Rattus norvegicus: one gene and its partners. The protein of the gene in region 1 interacts with the protein of each later gene in a biochemical or structural test. Links are inferred from orthologs where the notes say so. Each region holds a gene or a part of one and is shown in the gene's direction. Other genes may lie near its edges.

Region 1 (3,967 bases):
TAGGGAGTCTATTGACACATAAATCAATGACGATTTTAGTGTGGGAGGTAGAACTTGGGCCAACACACACACTCCTTGCAGGCTGTAGCAAGTCTTCTTTGTGCAAGTTAAAACTGTGGTGGTGTTTCCGGATGTATTGCCCTGCTCAGCAAGGACATCAACAGCACACTGAATTGCACGCCAGTATTTCTTTCAAGTGGGCATTTCAGATAAAACGTCATTGTTGTCCTGTTGAGGGAACTAGAACACATAAGAAGTTCGAGGGTGATGTATTCTAGTCATACCTCTGCAAATTTAGGAGATAAAACAGTGGAGGGCTGGGCTAAACATGGAAGCATGACAAAAGATACAGGTTCTTAGCTCGGTGGTAATGACCGGTAAGAAAATCAGAATGCCTCACCCAAATTCAAGTTTGGCCACTACAAATGTACTAATTTAACTGTAGCACAAGTAGCAAAACTCGGATGGGAAATGGGGAGAAAGGAGGATGGCATCTCCCAGGCTCCTACGTGTTCTCCGTGTCTTTCTGGTGAGAAGGTGAAGGCAGAGCTGCAGAATGCCTGCTCTGTTTGTTCCTGGGCAGAACATTCAGGCCTCTCTCTCCCTATCAAATAATTTCCCAAACTGAAGTTGAGAACGCAGACCGTGCCCGGGCCTTGGAAAGCCGAGTCACAGGGCCCCCAAGCCGGCCACGGTCAGCAGAAGGCCGTTTTGAACGTTTTGGAGTTTCGGGTTTCCACAGACCAGCCCATGCCCTTTGCACCGCGGCCTTGGGGGCAGCGCTGTGGGTCTGGATCAGGTATAAATTCTGGGGCAGAAGGAGGAAGCAGCCGCCGCCCCAGAAGAAGGAGTCAGGCCACAGGGTTTCCCAGAAGGCGAGCAGTATTCAGACCTCAGGGACATTCCCACCAGTTGGCTCCCTTCGCTCGGCCCCGCCCGGCTCCGCCCGGCCCCGCCCGACCCCGCCTCAATCACTCCAGCCTCCTCCCCAGCTGAGAGCGACGGGGAACCTCCGCCTGCGCCTTTAAGGGGCGTGACCGCAGCCTCCGCCCCTTCTACCCGCACGCGCCAATAAGGGGAGGGGTGCGAGAGGAGGAGCCTGGCGAGAGGGCAGGCGGCGGAAAGTGAGCCGATGCGCAGGCGCAGTGGTCGCACGACAGTGTGTTTCCAAAATGGCGGCGGCGATGGATGTGGATACCCCCAGCGGCACCAACAGCGGCGCGGGCAAGAAGCGCTTTGAAGTTAAAAAGGTTGGGTCTCGCCAGCGCCTTCCTCAAGGAATCTAGGGAGGCGCGGATATGGCTGGCAGGCCCGAGGAAGAGCTAGGCGCGGGGGAAAGGGCTTCATTTCAGGGCGTTCCTGGGACCGGGTACCACTAAAGGAAGCCGGGGGGCGGGCCTAGGGTTGATCGGCATGATGGTGGCCCACTGTCTTGGCCATATTAGTTTCGCTGGGAAAGCTGTGGGTCCAATCGCAGAGCTGCTTACTGAAATACGCGAGGTTAACTTCGGTGCGGGAGCCAAGCGCTTAAGCTGTCACTGAAGTGACTGAGAGTTGGGGGAAGGACAGGGTGGGGTGGGTAGGATGGAGACTCGTGAAGAGACTGCGGCGGGTGGAGGATGGGGCTGTGCGGAGAAACCCGGGAACGTGCGATGACACCGCAGAAGAGCTCTGCCGGTGTTCTTGCTCCGCCCCTTCCTGGATCCTAGAATCTATTGACTCCGAGGGACCTGGTGTGGGCCCTCGATTGTATGGCGGCCTCCATTAGCCTTCTAAACCCACAGTCTCAAGTGTAAAGCTTGGTTCTTCCGAGACGTGTACTAGTTGTCACATAGCTTCTGCCACTCCAATGGTTCTCTAATGCCCGTGTACACTTCTAACACAAAATGGTAATTTAAAAAGTCTGGTGGGCTTTGTTTTAAAAGCAAGCCCAGAACTTGTGCCATTTAAGAAGGCGGAGTACTAATTGTTAATGACCTGGGAACACAAAAAATATGAAACGTCCTTTTGTATTCTATTCCCTTCATAGTTTTCTAGCACTTTAAGAGAAAAGTGCCCGTTCCTACCTAAGATTACATAAATCTGCTCAAAATGAAGATCTTGAAGTGGGGAAGGTGTTTTTGGTTTTTTGTTGGTTTGTTTGGGGTTTTTTTTCCTTTTTGTTTTTGTTTTTTTTTTTTTTGTATGTATTACTTTTGGAAAGAGTCGCTGAGAACACCTCCCCACCCCACTCTTTTTTTGTCATCTCATTGTGGCCACTGCTGCTCAGTTACGGCCTGCAGCCATATGGAAGAATAATAGAAATAATGTCGAATTTACTAGACTCGAATACTTGAATTTGAGAAGTCAAACCAAAGTAGTCCTTGAAAGGGGTGTCCTAGGGGTTGGGGATTTAGCTCAGTGGTAGAGCGCTTGTCTAGCAAGCGCAAGGCCCTGGGTTCGGTCCCCAGCTCCAGAAAAAAAGAAAAAAGAAAAAAAAAAAAGAAAGAAAGGGGTGTCCTGCCCAGTGTAAGTCTTGGATCAATTTACTAGAACTAGCAAAATAATAGTTTGGACATATGAACGTTGGGAACATCAGTTTCCTTGGTAAGAGGACAAGAAAATTGCACTGGATTGACTTGCTTGCAGTGCTGTGAGGTGTAAGTGATGACCTTGTTCTGTGTGCTGACACTGGGTAGGTAACTCACTATCCAGCTTATCCCACGATTATCCCCTTAGCGATTGATCCATTTATTATCGTAGTTCAGTCTGTTCACCTCTCTTCCTCCGAGTCCAAAACTGCGTGGAGAGCAAATACTTAGGCAGATTTTGAGTTCGACCACATCTGTCAGGAACAGCTCCACATTAGTTCAAGTTTGTACTTGAAGCTAAAATGGGTGTTCAAAAAATAGCTCTAATATTCCCACGTCGGTTTGGCTAGCTAAATTATTTTATGCTATAGACCAAAAAAAAAAAAATTGGCGCGGTGGGGCTTGCCTTCCTCTTTCCGCCATCTTGGCGCCTTTGGAAGCCCACTGGGAACAGGACTTCTAAAAAAAACAAGTATGTCTGGAAGGCTGTGGTGCAAGGCCATTTTTGCTGGCTACAAGCCAGGCCTCCTGAACCAAAGAGAGTACACGGCTCTTCTTAAAATTGAAGGCGTTTGGGGTTGGGGATTTAGCTCAGTGGTAGAGCGCTTGCCTAAGAAGCGCAAGGTCCTGGGTTCGGTCCCCAGCTCCGAAAAAAAAAAAAAAATTGAAGGCGTTTATGCCCGAGATGAAACTGAGTTCTACTTAGGCAAGAGGTGTGCTTATGTGTACAAAGCAAAAAACAATACAGTGACTCCTGGAGGCAAACCAAACAAAACCAGAGTGATCTGGGGAAAAGTAACTCGGGCCCATGGAAACAGTGGCGTGGTTCGTGCCAAATTCCAAAGCAACCTTCCTGCAAAGGCCATTGGACACAGAATCCGTGTGATGCTGTACCCATCCCAGATTTAAACTAATGGAGAGTAAATAAATAAAAGTAAAAAAAAAAAAAAATTAAAAGTACCCATGTTCAGGAATGAGGAAGTGTACACGTGGTCTGCTGTTACCCTCTGATGTTGTACAAATAATGCAATCCAAAAATCATTCTTTCTTTGCTAGGCCCTATGGCCAGGGAGTTGGTAACTGAAGCCGCAGCTGAAATCCTAACGAGTCTGTTATGTTACCCAGAAAATGCATTGTTTCCCCTCTTCTCCTTGCAGTGGAATGCAGTAGCCCTCTGGGCCTGGGATATTGTGGTTGATAACTGTGCCATCTGCAGGAACCACATTATGGATCTTTGTAAGTAACTCGGGGCGGGTGGGAAGGCGTTGAGGAAGAGAGAAATGGCGGTCATCCTCGTGTGCCCAATTGTCTTCTTTACCAGTGAATACAAAGCAGGGTCAGAACCCGTAGGTACTTGAGTGTTTGAAGTAGATTGCATGTTGTTATTTTTGGAGACA
Region 2 (2,939 bases), on another chromosome or scaffold:
TTTTGGGTGTGGAGGGCTATGGGACAGCCTTATCTCTGGGCACAGATGAAGACCAGAAGGGTCCTATGGCAGGCCGCCCCGTTGCTCCCATGTCCTGTTTGCTCCCGGTGAGTCTCTCTGTGGATAGCTAGTAGAAAAGAAAGTGGAGTCCCACCTGTGGGCATAGGAGTGCAAGCGCTCATGGCAGACCAGGTGTCTCTGGGCTGGTTTTGGGTCTGAGGGCTGTGAGACAGCCCCAGCTCTAGGCACAGATGGAGACATGCCATTTTATTTTTTAATTGAAAGTAAAGACCAAAAGAGAGAGGGAGTGGGTAAAACAGCTTTATGTAGGCAGAGCTGTTTATCTGAAGATTCAATCAGATAATGCTGTATAAAACCTTTTTGCTTTTGCTTTAATTATTATTCTCGTGGCAGTGAAATTAATGTTTTGAGGGATCTGGTCCCTAGTCATCAGAGGCTAGGTCTTGTTTGAAGGATCACATTTTTTTAAAAAAATTTTGTTTGCAACAGATAGCCTAGCCTCAAAGCAATCAAGATCCTTCTGGGCAGCTTCCCTCACTAGGATTGCAGGTGACTGTAGACCAGGGCCACCGTGATAGGCATAGGGACTGCTCAGAGTAAAGCTGCATGCTATCACTTCACTTTCCTACAGTTCTGAGTGATAATGTCTAACGATGCTTCTAAAACTTCAGACATTGTGCTGCAGTAAATGTTTAACATTTTTGATTTTTTTTGTAGAAAAAATGCAAAAGTACAGAAAAGGGGAAAAATCAATTTGATTGGACGCTTGCAGCTCACTACAGAACGGATGAGAGAAGAAGAAAATGAAGGAATAGTTCAACTAAGAATATTAAGAACCCAGGTTGGTATAGGGAGAAAAAATGTTCAACTTCCCTCTTTTTTTTTCAATTTTTATTACATTGGGTATTTCCAGTGTTAATTCCCTTTCCCGGTTTCCTGTCCTTCAGCCCCCAACCCCTCCCCTTTCCCTTCTATATGAGTGTTCCCCTCCTTATTCACCCCCCCTTACTGCCCTCCCCCCTGACATTCCCCTACACTGGGGGTCCAACCTTGCCTGGATCAAGGGCTTCCCCTTCCACTGGTGCCCTTACTAGGCTATTCTCTGCTACATATGCAGTTGGAGCCATGGGTCAGTCCAGGTATACTCTTTCGGTAGTGGTTTAGTCCCTGGAAGCTCTGGTTGGTTGGCATTGTTGTTCATATGGGGTCTTAAGCCCCTTCAGCTCTTTCAGTCCTTTTTCTAACTCCTCCAACAGGGATCCCATTCTCAGTTCAGTGGTTTGCTGCTAGCATTCGCCTCTGTATTTGACATGTTCTGGCTGTCATGTTCTCAGGAGACATCTATATCTGGTTCCTGTCAGCATGCACTTCTTTGCTTCATCCATCTTATCTAGTGTGGTGACTGTATATGTATGGGCCACATTTGGGGCAGGCTCTGAATGGCTGTTCCTTCTGTCTCTGCTCTAAACTTTGCCTCCCTATTCCCTCCTATGGATATTTTTGCTCCCCTTTTAAAGGAGTGAAGCATCCACCAAATTTTCTCTCTTGTTCTTTGTTCTTTGCTTCTCTGCTCTCTTCCCCTCTATTCCTGTCCCTTCTCTCTCCACCCCCCACCCCCTTCCCTCCACGTGTCCCATGGCCAACCTTTCCTCTCCTCTCCTCTCCTCTTCTCTCATTAAACTTCTCCACGTAGGGGGGAAAAAAAGAATGACCAAAATTTTCAAGCTTCTTTAAAAAGACAAAAACAAAAAAAACGAGTATTCAGAATGGGGCATAGTGACATTTTCTTTTTTTAAAGATTTATTTATTTATCATATACAAGTACACTGTAGCTCTCTTCAGATACACCAGAAGAGGGCATCAGATCCCATTACATATGGTTGTGAGCCACCATGTGGTTGCTGGGAATTGAACTCAGGACCTCTGGAAGAGCAGTCGGTGCTCTTAACCTCTGAGCCATCTCTCCAGCCCATGACATATTCTTTTAACCTCACTCTGTGGAATTTGAGGCAGACTGATCTCTGAGTTTAAGGCCTGACCTATAGAGGATTCGGGGCAGCCAGAGCTGTCTAGGGAGAGCCTGCCTCCAAAACACCAAACAAAACCCTTCCAACAGTGGATAAAAAACACGAAAGTCATTTATTCATAAATAAGAGCTAATGCTCATTTTATTAGTAATTAAAAATTAAATTAGTTAATTCTCTCTGCTACCAGAAATGCTCTTTTGGATTGGAGGTTTGTAATAAGTTCTGATGTATTGTTTGGATAAAACCTTGGTTTTTATTTATGTCTCTTTTTGATACCCTACTGAGTACATGTATCTCAGCCACAGCTGAGAACTTGCAGAACTGAAGTATTTAAAACTATATTGAATTCTGAAATGTAATGTGCCCTTAGGAAATGTTTTTTATTTAGAACTAAGAAACATTATCTGGTATATTTTCCTTTGAAAAATGTGTTAAAATTAGGATTATGATGGCTTCTGAACATGGTAAAAATATTTATTACTAGAAAGGTAAGGTGGCTCAGTTCGTAGATATTTGACAGCAAGCTGACAGCTTGCGCTGTCAGAAGGAGAGAGGCTCCTTAGCGAGGTCGTTCTCCTCGTCTCCACTACCCGGAAATGAATACAACATACAGGGAAACAGAGCTGGCGAGATCGTGCGGTAGGTGGTGTAATTGACAACCTGAGTTCAGTCCCAGCAGTTCACTTGATGTAAGGAAGAAACCGACTCAAGTCCACAGTTGTCTTCCAACCTTCGCATGTAGAAGAGAGCGAGAGGCGCTCTCCTATGGGCACATGTGCATGTGTACACAACAAACAAGTTCTTAAAACTTCTAATGAATTGCAAACTGATGGTTATTTTAATTAAAGAAAAAAAGTCTTTTAACAGGGCTGCTTTTTTGGTTGTACTTTT
Region 3 (4,111 bases), about 100 Mb from region 1:
GGCATTGGATCCTTGGCTCTTCCTGGTCACATCAACCAGCCCCACCTTTGACACTGTTTCCCTATCCCCAAACAGGTCTGCCTGATATCCCCAGCCAGGACAGGATGTTGGCACACCTGTGGGGGGTTACGGGGCGGGGGAGCTGCCTTTTCCCAGCCCCAGTTATTGATGCAGCTGTAGTCCTTCAGGACACCCACAGTCCAGCTGTGTGAACAACACAGCCTAGGGCCAGAACCACCCACCCCTAGAGGTCACGGGTACACCACACACCTGTCTGCAAGGCTTGAATATGCTGCCACCTCAATACTCATGACCAAATGTCCAAGAAAGGAGTGTGGGTGTCTATGCCGGTCAACCTCGGGGACTTTGCGTGTCTGTTCCCGCTCCTGTAACTTTCCAGGATGCCTCACCACTGCTTAAGCAGGACTAGGGTGTGGTCAAAGGACAGCCTGACATGAGAGTCCTCCCAGGGTAGAGGTTAGCACTCCACCCGCTGGAAGCCAGGTCTGCAAACCCCAAATCGTCGATTCTGTGGGCCCTCCTTCTACCTGAGCCCATAGAGACAATATAGGGACATCCATAGCTTCATGATGGGAAACTAGGGCGGATCCTGCTCCGCTCCCGCACAAGCCACGCCCAACTCCCCACCCACAACCACGCCCCCTTGACGTCACAGAAAAGGCCCCCAAAGCCGCAGCTGCCACTCCGCAGCGCGCAGCCCAGCCCTGCCCGCCACTCCGCACACAGGCATCCGCGGAGCTCTTCCGGCCGGAGGCGACGGCGGCCTCCGGGGCTTCGGAAACGCAAGGCGCCTGCGCGGCAGGGCGGGGGAAGAAGACTACACTTCCCGGCGTGCCCCGCGGGCGGGCGCGCAGACACATTCCGGACCCGGTGGAGGCGTCGCACAGGCGCATTCTAGACCCGGCAGTGGCGCGCAGGTGCATTTCCGGCCCGGCAGCAGCGGCGCGCAGCCGCATTCGGGGCCCGGGTGTGGCACGCAGGCGCATTCGGGGTCCGAAGGAGGCACGCAGGCGCATTCGGGGCCGGGAGCCGGTGCGCAGGCGCATTCGAGGCCCGGCGGCTGCGGCGCGCAGGCGCGTTAGGCGCGGGCCGGGCCGGGCCGAAGCGAGCGCCGGGCGGGCAGCGGCGCCAGAGCGAGTGGAGCCTTCGGGGTCCCCGGGTGGTGGCGGCGGCGGCGGCGCAGAGGAGGAAGGCGGCGGCTCTCCCCCTGCCGGCGCGCGACCCGGTCCGTCCCGCGAGCTCGCGCCGGTCCCGCGGCCCGGCCCGGCCCCGGCCCCGGGCCCCTCCGCCGCCGCCGCCGTCACCGCCATGGCCCGGCCGCTGGTGCCCAGCTCGCAGAAGGCGCTGCTGCTGGAGCTGAAGGGGCTGCAGGAGGAGCCGGTGGAGGGCTTCCGGGTGACGCTGGTGGACGAGGGCGACCTGTACAACTGGGAGGTGGCCATCTTCGGACCCCCCAACACCTACTATGAGGGCGGCTACTTCAAGGTGAGCCGAGCCTCAGTTTCCTCTTTGTGCCTGCCTCTCTCCCAGGCTGGCTCAGGCCCCTCGTGCAAAGCGGCCCCTCCCTTTTTTGTTGGGCACGTGCTGACCTCACCCCGGGGACTGGTCTCCCTATACTGTTCTCCAGCAGGCTACATGACCAGAGACAGCTAATGTATGCCGCACCCCCAGGCAGACCCCCACTACAAGACGTAGGGGCCTCTAGAGCCTGCTGCTGGTCAGTGTGTTCCCAGGCTGTCGTGCACTGGACTAAGCATGTACCTGGGGATGTATCTCCCCGTGTTGTCCCCACTCTTCCAACATGCTTCTGGTGAAGGGTCTCCCCAGGGACAGTTGCTGGCCTTCTTGTTCCGGTGTAGTTCTCCCCACCACAAGACGCAGAAGCATCTGGAGCCCTCTGCTGGCAAGCATGTTCCCAGGTTGTCCCTCACCCCACCAGCATGTGGTGAAACCTGAAAAGGTTCACCTTAGTTTGTCCATATCTCAAGACATAAAGGACCACGGGCAGCTGCTGGCTGACATCCCCAGGCCTGTCCCCTACCCTGGAACACAACCAGAGCAGCCACTGGCCGATGTGTCCCCAGGGAAGAGACGTGTAGCCTGGACAGCCACCTGCTCCAGTTCCAGTAGAGGCCCTGGCAGGGCCTTGGCAGCCGTGCCTGTTGGACAACAGCCACCTTTAGCACTGGCCAGGCTTCACGTAATGCATTCAAGGGGGTGGTGGGGGCCCACCCTGAATCTTGGAGCCACACCTTGGGTTCCTGCCAAGGGCCCTGGACCCTAGAGCTCTCTGTTTGCCCCACCCTGACAGCCTTTCTCAGGTTCCACTGAACAGGTGGAGTCTTAGGGGCCTGATTTTTCCTTCTAAGGGGTGTCGTCTGCCCTCTGGTGGCTTCAGGCTCAATGCACCAGATGTTTTTGTGGTTGGGAGCAGGGAGGCTTAGGCAGCCCCCAACACTGAGTATGTTTGGCCAGGTATAGGTACCCATGTCAGCACAGTTGAATCATCCTGCCTGCCATGGACTAGAACTAGCAGAATCACAGGATCTTATGTTAGGGCCAAAGGTGCACGCAAACCCCAGCCAGTCTGGGGCCCCAGATGTAGGGCCGTGGCACTTATTTGTTCTGCGTCTTCCTTTGTGGCTGATGTCCTCACCCTTCTTGGTCAGTGCTTAGGAAAGTCACAAGTCTCCTTATGCAGGGGAATGTTTGAGTTAGGGTTTCCAGGTACAGCATGTGGAGAACGGGAGGGAGACACATGTGGACACCCTCGCTTCCCACCTGGAGGTGGTCTGAACTGAGCCGCCTTCAGGACATGCAGATGCTGTTAGCACCTTGTCTCCTGTGTTTGCGGGGGGGGGGGGGGGGGTGCTCAGAGCAGGGTCACCTGAACTCTTCCTTGCCCGTAAAGGATTGTGGGTAGAGCCTCCTAGGCTCACATTGTTCTTGAGGTAGCTTAGGAGGAGGCCCTGCATGATGTCACTCAAATCCGCCAATGTAGGAGCTTCCTATATGGTGTGAGTGACTGAGACGTGGGGAGTCTCTGTAGGAGGGGAGCTGTGAGGAGCTTCTCTGGACAGCCCAGCCTGTCTCACTTGAGAGAACCCTTCCTGTTCTGAGCCTCAGTCTGCTCATTCTTAGAAGCATCTGGAGCCCCAGAAGTGTGGGGTGTTGTTCCAGCAATGCCACCTTCCCCATCTGCTCTCCTGAGAGGATCGGGGTGGCAACTCCACACTAGGTTTGTGTGCGCCAGGCAGAACACTGGAAGCTGTCCTTGGGGAGCTCCAAGACTAGGGCAAATCTCAGGCCTTCTCTATCTGTCCAAGGTCGGGGCAGTGGGCAGGGTGAGCTTCAGCCACAAGCAGTTGCTGTGACCAGGCAGATGGTTCCAGCTTGTCTGGTGACTACTCTTGGCCTGGGCCCCTGAGCTTGGGTGGTGTTGGTGGGAGGCCTGAGGCCAGGCAGACCTGCTGACTCACTCCTCTAGCTAGCCCACACCTTTCCTAACCGCCTTGCCTTTCCTAACCTGGATGTCAAGTCACAGAGGTGTGCTGTGTGTATACTGGTGTACAAAGACTGGAGTTGGCTTCAGGGCCTGTACACCAGCGGCAGGTGGGCACAGCCCCTGACTCCAGCAGTGCTCGGGGGCCTGCCATTGAGCCACCCCATTTTCTGCCATCTGTAGGCTCGCCTCAAGTTCCCCATCGACTACCCATATTCCCCACCAGCCTTCCGGTTCCTCACCAAGATGTGGCACCCAAACATCTATGAGGTAAGACACTAGAGGCCTGCTTCAGGCACACTCCACCACACACTTCTCTGCCTCCCTTGCACATGCCCCACCCCTCCTCTAACCCTGGTCACTCTTGCAGACAGGGGACGTATGCATCTCCATCCTCCATCCCCCAGTTGATGACCCACAGAGTGGGGAGCTACCCTCAGAGCGGTGGAACCCCACGCAGAATGTCAGGTGAGAATTGCCATGGAACTGCACCGTGGGCACCCGCAAACACCCTGTACCCTAAGATCCACCCTTCCCTGCTCCAGTCAGGGGTTCCCAGAGTCTGGGGAGCTGAGCTTGCACCTACGG
Region 4 (4,128 bases), on another chromosome or scaffold:
CTAAGATTAAAGCTGAGTGCCACCATGCCCAGCTGCCTTTTACCCTTCATATCTGTGCACAAGTGTGTATCTGATGTATGTATCTGATGTACGCACACGTGAGCCCGAGTAACGTGTGTAGCTATGTATGTGCTACATCGGGTGATCTAAGGATAACTTTCCTTCACTTTTTTGTGTTTAAGACAGATTTTCATTAAGTCACCCTGGCTGGTTTGGAATTCTATGTAATCTAGGCTGTTCATCGCAGGATCTCTTTCCCTCTACAGGGTACTTGGTCCTAATCCTCTGAGGATTCCTCTGCCTAGGCTTCACATCTTCCCACCTGAGTTTGGAAACAGGTCCTCATGCCGACAAATGCTTTACTCACAGAGCCCAATTGCCTTCTTTCGAAAGAAATTTTAGGATCTAGGGGCCATGTAGCTCAAGGGTAGTGTTTTGCAGGTGAGACTTCTGGAGTTCGTTCCCCAGAACCACAAAGAAAATAAATGAAATCTTAACATTCCTTGGTCTTTTCCACAGCAAATATTCTCTTTTCAAGGCCCTACCTCTCTAGGAGTCTTGCCTATTTCTCTCAGAGTAGAAGATCTCCAGTCCCACAGGGACAGAGAATTCATACCCCATGAGCTGCAAGAAGAACGCTGCAAATGGAACTACAGGGCCTTACATATGCAAAGCAAGTTCCCCCACCACTGCTATACATCTAGGGGCCTGAAGCGTATTTTTGAGGCAGGCTCTTTCTACGTATCTCTGGCTGTCCTGGAATTTAATATGTAGACCAGGCCTTCCTCTGTCTCTCGGGCGCTGGGATCGAAGGTATGCCCCCCAAACTCCAGGCCTAAAGCAGATTTTTAAAGTGCACATAGGAATACTAGGAACAGGAGAAATTAAAAAATAAGAAGCAGGAAGAGTGCCCTCACATCCATCAGCCACCTGATGCAATCTGCACCTCTAACAATCCCGTAGCCCTAATGCAGCTGCAGACAGGTCGGATCGTTTGCATTCAGGACTGGTGCTGGGCATAGGGCTATAGCTCCACCAGCAGGCACTGTATTAGTGTGGTACACGGAAGGATCAAGCGGCTAAATGAATGGAAACAAGCCGGAAGGCCGTGTGCCGGGGTCCTGGACGCAGGTGCCTCCATGACCAATCAGTAAAGGTTTTGCCACATGGCCTGTCCTCAGGTCGTGCTCTCCACCAATGAGCGACGGTCACCTAGTTGGCCGGTGTACGCGACTGTCCGCGCGTGGAGCTGCCAATAAAGTTCTTTATAGCTTTGAATTTTTTTTTTAAAGTGACCGCTGCGGTCACGGCGCAGTCCCCGCCCCGCCACTTCCGGTCCCGCCGCCGGGAGCCGGTGCGGCTGTGAAGGCCAGCGCGACTCGGTGCCGCTGCTGGCCGGGCATGATTTTGGGTGCCGGCTTGCCTCGCCTGACTCGCGGTGCTCAGGTGAGCTGGTCGCGCGGGCTGGGCTGAGGCCGCGGCTCCTCTCGCCGGGCGCCACGCGGGACCGCGAGATCGGCGGCTGACGGGAAGCGCTGGGCGGGCAGCGAGCCCCCGCGGCTCTGAGGGCCGGGCCGAGGCGGACCCCGTGCCGCCGCCCGCAAGGTCACGGTCCGGAGCTCGGGCCGTCCGGGAGGCCGAGGCCGCGGCGGGGAGGCCGCTGTCCCTGAAGGGAGGCGGGAGGTGGACACAGCCCGCCACGGCGAGGGCGGGGAGGAGGGGCGGCCGGCCCGCCTGGCCCGGTTCGGTCCCTGACCCGGTTCCGCGGCGTGTCACCTGGGGTGTGGCCTTCTCTCCAGCGGGCTCAGTTTCCTCCGTCTCCGGTGGGCATTGGACCCCACTCCTCGGGGCTGCCGGTGGGTTGGAGTTGCTGAAGGCGGCTTCCTGGAGGGGAGACTGGCCTGTGGGTAGAAATCTGCTCTCCTTAAGAACCTGGTAGGGCTTGGCGGTGAAGGGAAAGAGGGCATCCCAAGACCTGGTTATCAGATTGAACAGAAGGTTCCAGAAATGAGCAGGGTGGTGTTGAAAAACAGTGAGGTGGCTGGTGGGCCTGGTGCCGAGGCTTCCTAGCTGTTTGGGCCGAATGTTGGGAGCTCGGCAGTACGAGAGAGACTCATAGGTGGGAATTAAGAGGGATAGTGATGGAGGGAACTTCAGGAACAGAATTAACCTGGACAGAATTAACTTGGCATTCAGTACCCAAAATCAAAGATGAGTCCGGAGGCGGTCAGTCAATAAACCGGGTTAGAGGCCCTTGGGCACTCATGCTGTACGATACTGGGGTGCGGAAGTTTTTAAAGTCTCAGTCTGAGCGCTTGCCTAGCAAGCGTAAGGCCCTGGGTTCAGTCCCCAGCTCCGAAAAAAAGAAAAAAAAAAGTTTAAAGTTTCAGTCTGTTTCTTTAGACTTGAGAGGTTAGGCATCCTTAGTAGCCCCGTAGTCCTCTCTTAAATGGCTTCGATTGGAACTGTCAGTGAGGAGTTAGCCTCACCTTGAGCTGCCTGGCCCTGCCCAGGGGACATCAGCTTGATTTCAGCACAGCACATAGGAATGCTGAATAAACATGATTTGGTGAGACTGGTAAATAACACACTACAGTCCTCTTTGGATGGCCCAAAGGCTGGTCCCACCCAGAGGAGGAACTAAGTGGGCCAATTACAACTTGTGGAATTTGAAACTCAGCATGCTGTTCAGAATAGCTGATCTGTTCCCAAGATACTGCCTTAGTCACAGTGTGATTTTTTTTTCCCCCAAGAAAAGGGAAGTTTTGGTCAAAGTGGGGTTTTCTAGAGGTGGGACATGTTGAGGAGGGAAAGAGAATTCAGAGGTAACTTCTACCCTTTTGATAGTTCGAGTAACTGTTTTTGTTTGATCCCCTTGTGTAGATTTAATTTTCTGATTGTGGGACATTTCCAAATTGAGACTTTGGTTTATTCCCTCACATGCTAGTGAAAGTGATGCAGATGATAGATAAAATAGCGGATACTCTAATCTTACTTGCCTTAGAGTATCAGAAAGTACGTGTTGGGTTTTCTGTGGAGACACCACCAGTGTTGTTTTCTACCTTGCACAGTCTTCACACAACATGTCCTACTGGAAAAGCCTACAGCTCACTGAAGATTACAAGTTAGAATCCACACCACACAGAGTAGAGCATGGTATGCCCATCCTCTGCCTCTGAGGGTGTGAGAGCAGTAGGCAGAGCCCTTGGACTGCAGTGGCAGGTCTAAGCAGCCAAGTGCAGGTTTGCAGGGTGTGGAGCAGCTTCTGTTCTTCATTTTCCAAGAAGCTGTTGTGACCACTAGGGACTGCCTGCTCAACCCTTAACCAGTGCTTTCCCGTTTCACTTTCCACCACTTGCCTTAGTGATACCAAAGGTGAAAACCTAATGGTCCTCGTGTGGAACATCCTCACTGGTCCCAGCAGTGTATAGGGTTGTTGTCTTGGACATTGTCAGACACCCCTGATGGCCCAAGGTCTGAGCATGGAGTGGTGGACTTAGACTTGGCCAAGGTGGGAAGCACTAACTCATGATCCTGCTTGAGGAATTTCTGACAAGATCATTCCAGGCGGCAACAAGGCAGGAAAACATTGTTACGGTTCTGCTGTTTTGGGAGCTTGTGGGCTGGAGTCCCTCTGGGGAAGTGACTTAGCGAAGACTGGAGGATGTCTGTGTTCTGACAAGGCTCATCTTTTCACATAGATGCCCCTAAGGAGAAGCTATTACAGAGTAGGACTGAACTGGCCCATCACTTCATGACTGATCAATGTTTGTATAAACTACACCATACCCACACTTACAACACATCTAAATGAAAACTAGTTTTTTTTGTGGTGAGTGCTTCTTATAGCTTAGTGTCTTGGACACTCATCCTCCAGGCCTGTTTCAGGAGGTGTGTGTGTGCATGTCTGCCAGTGTGCATTAGTGTTAGGAGTCTTTCCCAGATTTCAGAGCTATGAGCTTAAGCATACTGATGTGCAATACAAGAATTGTTTGGTACATTTAGACAAATGATACTTTCTGATTTTATTTTGGTATTTTTACCTTCCTTTTCTGATACATCTACTGTAGCCCTGACTAACCTCCAACTGACAGTCCTCCCTCAGCCCCCCAAATACTGATGTTACAG
Region 5 (3,500 bases), on another chromosome or scaffold:
TTCTGAAGACCTGAGTCTGAACCATTCAGGACATACTCCTGTGACTTACGTACTTGAATTTTGTCCTTTCGTCACCCTAGTACACATCAGAGGAAGACTCAGAGTGGAGCTCCACCTGAGAGCAAACTCCTCAGAGTGGCCTAGCTTCCAGGGAGAGGTCAGCTCTGGGCTGGAGTGTACAACAGAGCCGGAAGGTTCACCCCTGTCAGGCATATTAGTGAAGGAGGGAGCAGTGTGGGTCTGTGGAAAACCAAGTAACAGGATTGGCTAAAATGACATGGGAAAGCCCAGGGTGTGGTGAACAGGTCAGTATTGCTAGGACCACTTTGAAGAAGTCACGTACTAGTAGAGCATAAATTCAATACAAAAGCAGAGACTATAGCCTCTCTGACTTGTCTGTCCCACCAGAACCTGCCCTGGTCTAGCAGCCTCCTGCTCAGCTCTCACAGGTGTGTGTTTAGCTCTTACCTCAACCTTGAGTGCTAAGGTTGGGTTTGGAAGATGGTGACAGGTGCATGTCTCCTGAGAAGTTTCTGAGTTTCCTGTTGCCTGGATTTGAGTCCTGATTTCATTTTGTATTCTTACTTATTTCTCTCACTAGGCATCTAGAGGGGCCCAGTATCCCAGCCTCACTCTGAGTAGGGGGTAGTGCGGGGAGGCAGCAAGTTTGTATGGAAATAGTACCCCCAGGCCATCCTTAACACAGACAGTGCCACCAATCCTGGACTGCCATTGTGCATTACCGTCTTCTCATTTGAGTCCAGGGTCACCTTGGGTCCCACCTGTCATACCATATGTCTCTGTAGTGGCTGACTTCAGTTGTAACTAAGTACATGAGGAAGATTCATGTTAGTAGGTATGACAGCGATAGTGTGTCACAGCTAGGAAAAGTAGTTAGGACTGCTGACTCCAACTCAGGAAGCAGCACTCAGAAAACGCTCATATTAGGGGACTGGTGGTGCACACCCTTAATCCCAGTACTGGGGAGGCAGAGGCAGAAGGATCTCTGAGTTTGAGGCTAGCCTGGTCTATATAGCAAGTTCCAGGACAGTCAGAGCTACATAGTAAGACTCCGTCTCAAGAAGGAGAGAGAGAAAACTGTTGCACAAATGCTTTCTTGTGAAGGACGGCATACCAGCCACACAAACTGGACTTCTACAGAAAAGCACACAAGCATGGACGTGTATATAAAATCACTTTTTTTTCTGTACTTGTAAACATGGGCTGACTTATGCTGAGCTTCTGAGGCAGAGCTGACAGATAAGACGGGAAGGTACTTCGAGGAAAAGAGCTAAGGAAAGTCTCTCTGTTCCCTCTCCTCGTTAGAGATCATTTCTTTTTACACTTCTCACGTGAATAAGAGTCTGACATGTATATGAGATTTGAGAGAGGTTTAATATGAGTGATGAGATTATATTCTTTCAGTGGGTAGAAATAATTTTTTTCCTGTAGGCTGTTTAAAGTTGCCTTTTTGCTGGCTGGTGGGTGGTGCTCATCTTTAATGCCTGCACTTAGGAGGCAGAGACAGGCAGAGCTTTGAGTCTGAGGCCAGCCTGGTCTACAGAGTGAGTTCCAGGACAGCCAACGCTGAGAAACTCTGTCTCAAAAAAACAAACAAAAGTTGCCTTTTCTTCATCAAGACAAAATAAATGCATTCTACATCAACAATCAGTAAAAACACAGGGAGCGGAGCAGCCTGGCCTGTCACTCAGGAATCACAGGTCTAACACTCACACAGCTGGGCGCTCCCTCCTGCCACTGCCCAGGTTCACATGGCCATTTTTAGGATATATGTGTGCCCCATTTCAACCTAGAGAGTCAAAAAATGGCCACATGACCCAAACTAACCTCACAGCCCTGGTCTGTGCAGCCTGACAGGGCAACTCCTGAACCAGGGCAAAGCTTCACACCTGAGGTGCCAGCCCCCAAGGAACAGTGGGTGCAGGGTATGTCAGTCTGAGCCCCTCACTGCTGGCACTGCTGGCCATTGCCATCAGTGTGGGTGGCACAAGTGCCCTGACCACCCGAGAGGGCTGTACTGCAGGTAAACGCAGGGCTTTCCAAGAGCTCTGACGCGCGCTGAACAACCACCCTCTCCTTTGTTGTAGGCTGTTGAGAATCTGTGCTCTCACAAAGTCTCCCCCACGCTCTACAAGCAGCTGCGGCAGGTCTGTGAAGACCATGTCCAGGCCCAGATCCTCCCCTTCAGAGAATATCCTTTTCTTGCTTTGCTTTTTGTGCCTCATTTATGACACAAAGCTTTTAAAACTAGGATAAAGAACTGATGAATATCCTCAGTGTAAAATAATGGGTTTTAACTCTTTTTTTATAGAACAAGGGGCCTTTTGTTTCATAACTCATTATAATGGTTTTTTTAAAAGTGAAATTTGTCACATTTAAATAGTTGATATGAGTACTGCATCTAATTGGAACATTCAGGGGAGTTTTTAAAAATGTCTTAAAGTTTAAGTTCTGTTCTTTAATTAAAAATCACCTTATTTTTTATGATATGTGACAAATCCCCACAAATATGGCTGTCATACCCAGCTTATTTTCTTGGGGTGTGCCTGTCAGGAATCAGGATACAGCCCCTTGCTTTCTGTCTCGGTGTCACAGGCCCAATCGGTGTGACAGGGAGGAGTCTCATCTAACGGGGCGTGGGGGGGGAGCTGTAGGAACAAGGTCCTGCTTACCATCTGGCCATAGTGGATCTGGCGTAACCCTGAGGACTGCCCCTCCGGTCCTTGCTGCATCCACTTTCTCCTGGTGGATCGTGCACTCTGGGCAGGCAGGAGAACCTGCCTGTCCGGCCTGAGACTTCCTCCAGGGACAGGACAGACAGAGGCGGGCTGGCTGTGTCTCCCATTAGGAAGGGAACAGTCGGCCTGTACTGCACACAGGGCTGCGCAGAGGCCATCTTAGGTTTGCTGCCGTGTCACCTGTCACTCATGCCCACGAGTACGTCTGTCCGACCTGGCCTCGGGCCAGTTTTAAGCGCACAAACTCTGTTGTGTGTAAAATCCATGTTGACTTCTTTGGCTCCATGCATTCATGTCTAAAATAAATTCCAGAACCTTTGTATTCAAGATTTTCTCCTGATTCAGGAAGTCTTTTTCCCCCTCCTGGGGACACTTGACCCTGCCAGCTGTGCAGACCCTGTTCATTAAACACAGCAAGCAAGTGTGGCTGGACACCGAGCCTCTGGGAGGTCTACTACACAGCTTCAGTCAAGATGCCTCTTGTGTTCTCCGTCAGCATTTTGAACCAACGACTGCAAGATTAGACAAGAACGTGGTGACCAGATCCCTGGAGAACTTGCTCACATGCATCTCCTCTCAGGACAGAGCTGTGAGGCGCATGGAGCTTCTGCCCCATCGGAGCCCTGGAGGAGACTGACCCTAGGCTGAGAGTGGTCAGCAGATGCCACCTAGGACATGGCACCCAGCACTGTTTTGCTCTAACCCCACTTTGCTGCAAACGGCTTTTTTACTTACTTTAAT
Region 6 (2,617 bases), on another chromosome or scaffold:
TCCTATTCCCCTGCCTTCAGGTCTCAGTGGGCATCCCTGTCTCTAGGACTTGAGCAGGACTTCCGTGGCTTGGTCCATTTCCTTTATTCACGTACTAGGAGACGGCTGGTGCAGATTGGAGTCTTGGGGCCTGGTAGGGTTGCCGTGACCTTAGGCTGCTGCACACTGAGCGGGGGCTGAGGGTCACATGTGTGCCCTGTGTGTTCCTTAGTCCTCCCCTGTGAGCACAGAGACTCTTCTTGGTTACAGTCTGCCAAAATTGACACCTCGAATCCTCACAGGAGTGGGGCCTCATGCCCACAGTCACCCCTGCAGGACCTGCCGTGTGCCTGAGTTTCTCTGTGGTGCAGTTCCTGTGCGAGGCTCTGCGGCTGAGCTTCCGGCTGTGTTTGTGCCTCAGGCTGAAATGGACCGACGTGGACTCTCCAGGGAGAGAAAGCAGCAGATTTCCCACGAGCCAGTTTAGGCCGTGATAGTGTCCCTCTCCCACGTCTGAGTCATGGCTGGCGTCGCAAATGTGTCTCTTTCCTGATTTGCAGGGGCCCTGAAGACACTTGCTTTGAGTTTGGTGTTTTCCCCGCCATCCTGAGTTTCCCACTTGACTACCCTTTGAGCCCTCCGAAAATGAGATTCACCTGTGAGATGTTCCATCCCAACAGTAAGTGTGACTGACTGCGGCTGACAGGGCAGCAGTGCCACACAGCTCTACAGTGCTCTCAGCTCTAGCTGTGACAGATGAGTGATGGTGTGAGCACCAGAGTGCCACGTTGAAGGACAGCTTAATGTAAAGGGGAAAATGTGTGACCTCAGCACTGGCTGTTTGTCAGCCGTCCTGTGTTAATGGGTTCACTGGAACTTTCAGGCCTTGAGTGCTTTGTGTCCTTCCTTGGCCTTTGTCACCGTGTCATTTTAATGGTGGAAAATTGGAATTGGGCTGGAGAGATGGCTCAGTGGTTTAGAGCACTTGCTGCCCTTGCAGAGGACCCAGATTTGGTTCCCAGCACCCAGCATTGCTCACAACTGAGGCTCCAGGAATCTGGTACCTCTGCTAGCCTCTCTGGAGCCAGGCTGTCGTGCAGTACACAGACATACACAGCATACTGTGTAGTCGTGCACATGAAAAGTCGGGAGCCAGCCCAGCTGACCTACAGCAGAGTAGAGGGCTGCTGTAGTTAGCCTGGACGTGGACACTGAGGATATGGTAGAAATCCCTAGAGGCTCGATTGCTGTTACTCGGGTTTGCGGGGAACTGTGTAGGCTGGGAAGTAGGGAGTACTCAAAGCACTGGTACTCTGAGTTCCATCTCTATCTGCGAGGGGCCATAGTACTGTCAGTGACTGTGCCCTGACTGGGAGTAGGGGTTTCTTCCTTCCTTTTACTAGTAGGTTTTGTACATGGAGGCTCAGGATTGCTCAGGATGGCCTTGAACTCCTGATCTTCCTGTCTCTGTCTCCCAAGTGCTGAATTCCATACACATGTGTCCATGCCAGACTTAGATAAGAGAAATGGACAGTGCGTTGTATTTTGAATGATGGCATTAGGATAGTGTTCCTTCTTGTAAATGTTTTTCATTGCCACAATAGTCTTGATCTTTCTGCCTGTGGAGCTAAATTCAAGTAGGGTATTCTATTTTGTAAAAATAAAACATTCACTTATTAGACACCAGGGTTCTTTTTCAATTTTATTTTATGTGTACGGGTGCTTTGCCTGCATGTCTGTCTGTGTAACAGACAGAGGCCAGACAACTGAGTCAGATCCCCTGGAATTGGACTTATGGATGATTCTGAGCCATCATGTAGGTGTGGGAATCGAACTCTGGTTCTCTGGAACAGCGGGCAACACTTAACTTCCAAGCTGCCTCTCTGGCCCAAATGGACGTTTTTGTATTTTGTAAACGTTAATTTTGAACCTGGTCTGGTGCTAAGTCCTTCCCCCCTTTTCTCAGGACTTGAGGGGTTTCGCTGCCTTGCCTCTGCTCTAGCTACCTGGACATGGACTTTGCTGCTGGTGGCTCTGCAGCCCCGTGCAGTATCTTGAACTCTGGGAACTTGAGTTTGGAATATTCGTCCACACATCTTTCACTTCCTCCTTTAGGTGCTCAATGTAACAAGGTAGAATCCAGTTGTGACTGCTCAGTGCTAGACAGACCTGGTCCCAGGCCCCCTTGTCAGTGACCACAGGACCTGATCAGTCCATGACAGGTCTGGTCTGCTGCTAGCAGCCCGGGATCCGTGCCAGCAGGAAACTCCTGTTTCAGCTGTGCAAACAGCCGGGCCTGTGTCTGTGGAGCTTCCCCGCACAGTGACACGTCTCTGACTTTTGCAGTCTACCCTGACGGAAGAGTGTGCATCTCCATCCTGCATGCCCCAGGGGACGACCCCATGGGCTATGAGAGCAGTGCCGAGCGGTGGAGCCCAGTGCAGAGTGTGGAGAAGATCCTGCTTTCGGTGGTGAGCATGCTGGCAGGTGAGGCTTTCCCGAGTGTGAGCAGACGCAGGAGTATAGATGTGTAAGACGGGCCAGTAGATTCTCAGGTTGTTGGCTACAGTTTGCTAGTCTCTCACTGTGATTTGTTGGGGCCACTGAGAGTCCCAGAGCAGGGGTATAAAGCTCAGTG
Region 7 (3,993 bases), on another chromosome or scaffold:
GAACTGTGCCATGCTGGGTGGTGCAAACGCTGTCAGTCAGCAAAGAGCCTTTATAAGAGCAGAACATAGTCCTAACCTGTTCCGGTCATGTTTTTCAACAGCGACTCTGGCTTCTGGTTTCCTAGATGACAGCCAAAGTCACTGGCCCATCCTGAGCTATTATTTTCTTCTGCCTCCCAAGCACTGTGGTTGGATGCAAGCTCACTGAACAAGTTAATCAAGAAGCACAGTGCCACTTCTGCTGGTCTCTAGATCGCAGTCGTAAGCCCTACCTATACCAACGTCAACCTCGGACCCTAGAACTACACGGTTGCTCACGTCTGTTACACAACAGAAATTTAAGGAACAAGGGTCTCGATGTGTTGCCTAGGGTGTCCCTGAACGCCTGTTCTCTCTCTCTTTTTTAAAGATTTATTTTTATTATATATGAGTACACTGTAGCTGTCTTCAGACATACCAGAAGAGGGCATCAGATCTTATTACAGATGGTTGTGAGCCACCATGTGGTTGCTGGGATTTGAACTCAGGACCTCTGGAAGAGCAGTTGGTGCTCTTAACCACTGAGCCATCTCTCCAGCCCTTAACGCCTGTTCTCAAGCCAACTTGATACCTCAAGCCTCCAGAACAATTCGAGTTTTTTTTTTTTTTGTTTTGTTTTTTTGTTTTGTTTTTTTTTGGTTCTTTTTTTCGGAGCTGGGGACCGAACCCAGGGCCTTGCGCTTGCTAGGCAAGCGCTCTACCACTGAGCTAAATCCCCAACCCACAATTCGAGTTTTAAACTAGTTCCCATCAATCTGAATCTGGGATTGCGGTGGGATTAAAGGGGAGCTTGCTTCTGCACCCTTAGGCAACGTTCCTTACAACGTCCAGGTTCTGCCTTTGCTGAGCCCTCAAGAGGGCAAGGATCCAGTCTAACCTGGTAACCTGGTCCCGCTGAGATCCGCATAAGTGCAATATTGAATAGAACCACCAAGAGCCAAACAGCCACTACCTGCCTGGTTCAAAAATGGTTGCAAGCACTGCTTCCTACTCTCCTGGGTGCGCATCCCAGGAAGTACCCGATGGACCGCCAAATAGTCACCTCCACAAACGGAAATACCCGAGCTTAACCGAAGAAAACCGAACCTCAAACTACAACGAGGAGCAAGCAGGGGGGTGGGGTGGGGGCGCTGCAAGAGTTGCGCAGGCGCAGAGCGCAGCCGAGCCAGGAAAAACCGAAGCGGACAGACGACGGAAAGTGCCGAAGCGGCGGGGTGCCCGAGGCCGTTGCCGACCTCCGCATCGAAGCCGCGCCTGCCGCGGAAGCTGAGCCTCCACCGGTACCCTGCGGTACCCTGCCGCCGCAAGCGCGGCTGCCGCCTCCTCCTTCCACCTCACCGCAGCCTCCTAGCAAAGGGAGCAAGTAGGCGGGAGAGCGGCGGACCGGTAAAGGCCGGCGTCCGCAGCCGCAGCGGGGACTCACAAGACCCGAGCGGAAGAGGGGGAGGAGGGCGCGGGGGCCGTAGCAGGGGCGGGGCCGAGGATAGCCGAGTCCTCCCGAGCACTTCCGAACACACCCGAGGTGCTAAGCCAGGCCAGAGCCGGACTACGGGAGCCGAGGCGGGCCGTGCGGTGGGCGCGGAGCAGCGCGGCAGGCCGGGCGGGCGGCAGCGGAGGAGGCCGCGGTAGCGGGTCCGAGGAGCGGAAGCGGCGCAGGCGGCGGCGGGGGGCCGGGTGGCCGGGGTCCCGGGCCCCGCGGCGGCTGCGGCGGCGGCGGCGGCGGCAGGATGATCAAGCTGTTCTCGCTGAAGCAGCAGAAGAAGGAGGAGGAGTCGGCCGGCGGCACCAAGGGCAGCAGCAAGAAGGCGTCGGCGGCGCAGCTGCGGATTCAGAAGGGTAGGGGTCGGGACCCTGCGTTCGAGGTCAGGGACCGTGGCGTGAAATTGCCACCGCTGATATTTGGTATCGAGGGTCAGAGTTCGAGGGTTGTGATACGGGACGGGGTGGGGGGGTGCGGTCACTAGGGAGGGTCAGAGATTGGGGCCGAGTATGGGGCGTTGGGATATTTGGGCCTGGAGTGTTAGGGACCCGGAATCTGTTAGGGGAGGGGTATAGTTTGGAGAGTCAGAGGGGAACTTTGCTCTGGGGTGACGGGCCGTGAAGATTGTGAAGGTTACGAATTGGGGATAAGTAGGAGACGGTTTAGTGTTTTATACTGGGGCTGGTGGTCCAGGACTCAAGTCCAGGGGTTTAGGCAGAGTGGTTTTGAGTTTGAGGTGAAGGGGGGTAGAGAAAATGACAGGAACTTTAAAAAAAAAAAAAAAAAAAGGAGTTTGGGTCAATTTAAGCTACCATGCTAGAAATCTCAAGGATCAGATGGGAACGTGGAGTAATCCGGAGAAGAGGGAGGACAGTGGAGGCTGGATACTTGATGGGAAGGTTGAACTTAGTGTTGTGGGGGGAGGTGTCATGGTCCTTGAATAGTGGTGAACTGGTAAACAGTCGTGAATGGAGATAGTGACTAGAAATAGAGAACCTCAGGTTTAAGGTACTCAGGGGTTCTTGGAAGTAAGGGTTATGGGAGTAAAGGTTCTTGGGGACTATGTTGTGGGAACTTGCGGAGGACTTGGGGTTGGGGGATAAAGGCTTGCCCTTTCCCAAGAGATGGGCATCCAGTTACACTTGAAGATGCTTGTATGTGGGATACCGTGTATCCAGAAGAGTAGAGACTGAAAAGTGGAAAGAGTAGTTAGTCCTATGGAGTGAGTTAAAGCACAGCACACAAAGAGCACCTCAGGTCCAGGAGACCTTGGGGGTTCTACTGACACATGTCCAGACCTACCTCCTTTCTTCTACCTGTTTTCTCTCCCTCTCCCTGCTGTGCAAACCTAGACATTAACGAGCTGAACCTGCCCAAGACGTGTGACATCAGCTTCTCAGACCCAGACGACCTCCTCAACTTCAAACTGGTTATCTGTCCTGATGAAGTAAGAGTAAAACATGGCAGGATTCCCAAGAACAGTCCAGGGGTGGCCCCCTAAGAGCAGGATCTTTATGCATTCTTCCCCCTTCCTCTTCCAGGGCTTCTACAAGAGCGGCAAGTTTGTGTTCAGCTTTAAGGTGAGTTTCAAGTGTACAAAGGTGGCTCTGTGGAGAAGACTGGGGCATAGCCAAAACACCCTCCCATCTCATTTCTCTTTTTTCTGGAGCCAGGTGGGACAGGGTTACCCACATGACCCTCCCAAGGTGAAGTGTGAAACAATGGTTTATCATCCCAACATTGACCTCGAGGGCAACGTCTGCCTCAACATCCTCAGGTGAGGGCACTGCCTTCCTTTCCCTCCCAAGGCTTGCCTTCTAGGAATCCTCTCAGCCTTTGTGGATGCTGCATCCATCTCTGTCCTTGCCTTTATGGTCAGTCTGGGTTTCTGTCTTCCTTTTCAAGTTGTTTTTCTAGTGACCTGACCTTGGCTTTCTCCATGACCTGCCCTGTTCCACATCTTCCCCCTCACTCTTCAATGTTAATGGCCCTTCTATGGGCCTGACCTGTTTCGTGTTAGCAGGGCCTGTGGCAACCTCCCACTCACCAGCCCCTGATAACCTTGATGCTCTCTGCCCACAGAGAGGACTGGAAGCCAGTCCTTACGATAAACTCCATAATTTATGGCCTGCAGTATCTCTTCTTGGTAAGTAGGCATAGACATTTGAGGCTGAGGGCTTGTTGGCCATCTCTGCCTCTCTTGCCTGTTGACTTCCACTTGTACTGGCCACAGGAGCCCAACCCCGAGGACCCACTGAACAAGGAGGCTGCCGAGGTCCTGCAGAACAATCGGCGGCTGTTTGAACAAAACGTGCAGCGCTCCATGAGAGGTGGTTACATCGGGTCCACCTACTTCGAGCGCTGCCTGAAATAGGGTTAGCAATTACCCATCCCTGCCAGGGTTACTGGCCCAGGCATCCCCTGCAAATATTTATTGGGGGCCCAGGTAGGGTGTGTGGGGTAGCCTTGGCCCC

The links.
Region 2: the proteins of Rbx1 (region 1) and Cul5 form a complex in vitro, tested with the Homo sapiens proteins (4 studies listed by BioGRID and IntAct, with this or other methods). The link is inferred for Rattus norvegicus from reciprocal best matches to the Homo sapiens genes RBX1 and CUL5.
Region 3: the proteins of Rbx1 (region 1) and Cdc34 form a complex in vitro, tested with the Homo sapiens proteins (84 studies listed by BioGRID and IntAct, with this or other methods). The link is inferred for Rattus norvegicus from reciprocal best matches to the Homo sapiens genes RBX1 and CDC34.
Region 4: the proteins of Rbx1 (region 1) and Ube2f form a complex in vitro, tested with the Homo sapiens proteins (2 studies listed by BioGRID). The link is inferred for Rattus norvegicus from reciprocal best matches to the Homo sapiens genes RBX1 and UBE2F.
Region 5: the proteins of Rbx1 (region 1) and Cul4a form a complex in vitro, tested with the Homo sapiens proteins (6 studies listed by BioGRID, with this or other methods). The link is inferred for Rattus norvegicus from reciprocal best matches to the Homo sapiens genes RBX1 and CUL4A.
Region 6: the proteins of Rbx1 (region 1) and Ube2g2 form a complex in vitro, tested with the Homo sapiens proteins (3 studies listed by BioGRID). The link is inferred for Rattus norvegicus from reciprocal best matches to the Homo sapiens genes RBX1 and UBE2G2.
Region 7: the proteins of Rbx1 (region 1) and Ube2m form a complex in vitro, tested with the Homo sapiens proteins (15 studies listed by BioGRID and IntAct, with this or other methods). The link is inferred for Rattus norvegicus from reciprocal best matches to the Homo sapiens genes RBX1 and UBE2M.

The regions. Positions count from the first base shown.
Region 1 is NC_086025.1:114,869,812-114,873,778, forward strand, and holds the start of Rbx1 (E3 ubiquitin-protein ligase RBX1), read left to right. Parts: upstream 1-1,167; 5' UTR 1,168-1,172; coding exon 1,173-1,250; intron 1,251-3,727; coding exon 3,728-3,806; intron 3,807-3,967. UniProt on the Homo sapiens protein: E3 ubiquitin ligase component of multiple cullin-RING-based E3 ubiquitin-protein ligase (CRLs) complexes which mediate the ubiquitination and subsequent proteasomal degradation of target proteins, including proteins involved in cell cycle progression, signal transduction, transcription and transcription-coupled nucleotide excision repair.
Region 2 is NC_086026.1:62,914,633-62,917,571, reverse strand, and holds part of Cul5 (cullin-5), read left to right. Parts: intron 1-738; coding exon 739-862; intron 863-2,939. UniProt on the Homo sapiens protein: Core component of multiple cullin-5-RING E3 ubiquitin-protein ligase complexes (ECS complexes, also named CRL5 complexes), which mediate the ubiquitination and subsequent proteasomal degradation of target proteins.
Region 3 is NC_086025.1:10,670,808-10,674,918, reverse strand, and holds the start of Cdc34 (ubiquitin-conjugating enzyme E2 R1), read left to right. Parts: upstream 1-1,311; 5' UTR 1,312-1,329; coding exon 1,330-1,506; intron 1,507-3,706; coding exon 3,707-3,793; intron 3,794-3,893; coding exon 3,894-3,991; intron 3,992-4,111. UniProt on the Homo sapiens protein: E2 ubiquitin-conjugating enzyme that accepts ubiquitin from an E1 ubiquitin-activating protein, and catalyzes its covalent attachment to other proteins by an E3 ubiquitin-protein ligase complex. In vitro catalyzes 'Lys-48'-linked polyubiquitination.
Region 4 is NC_086027.1:99,292,187-99,296,314, forward strand, and holds the start of Ube2f (NEDD8-conjugating enzyme UBE2F), read left to right. Parts: upstream 1-1,328; 5' UTR 1,329-1,446; intron 1,447-1,684; exon of another isoform or gene 1,685-1,856; intron 1,857-4,128. UniProt on the Homo sapiens protein: Accepts the ubiquitin-like protein NEDD8 from the UBA3-NAE1 E1 complex and catalyzes its covalent attachment to other proteins. Together with the E3 ubiquitin ligase RNF7/RBX2, specifically neddylates cullin-5 (CUL5).
Region 5 is NC_086034.1:83,114,458-83,117,957, reverse strand, and holds part of Cul4a (cullin-4A), read left to right. Parts: intron 1-2,108; coding exon 2,109-2,212; coding exon of another isoform or gene 2,213-2,213; intron 2,214-3,500. UniProt on the Homo sapiens protein: Core component of multiple cullin-RING-based E3 ubiquitin-protein ligase complexes which mediate the ubiquitination of target proteins. As a scaffold protein may contribute to catalysis through positioning of the substrate and the ubiquitin-conjugating enzyme.
Region 6 is NC_086038.1:10,985,444-10,988,060, reverse strand, and holds part of Ube2g2 (ubiquitin-conjugating enzyme E2 G2), read left to right. Parts: intron 1-539; coding exon 540-658; intron 659-2,325; coding exon 2,326-2,466; intron 2,467-2,617. UniProt on the Homo sapiens protein: Accepts ubiquitin from the E1 complex and catalyzes its covalent attachment to other proteins. In vitro catalyzes 'Lys-48'-linked polyubiquitination. Involved in endoplasmic reticulum-associated degradation (ERAD).
Region 7 is NC_086019.1:82,735,499-82,739,491, reverse strand, and holds the start of Ube2m (NEDD8-conjugating enzyme Ubc12), read left to right. Parts: upstream 1-1,193; 5' UTR 1,194-1,766; coding exon 1,767-1,875; intron 1,876-2,871; coding exon 2,872-2,966; intron 2,967-3,060; coding exon 3,061-3,099; intron 3,100-3,192; coding exon 3,193-3,296; intron 3,297-3,601; coding exon 3,602-3,665; intron 3,666-3,752; coding exon 3,753-3,893; 3' UTR 3,894-3,993.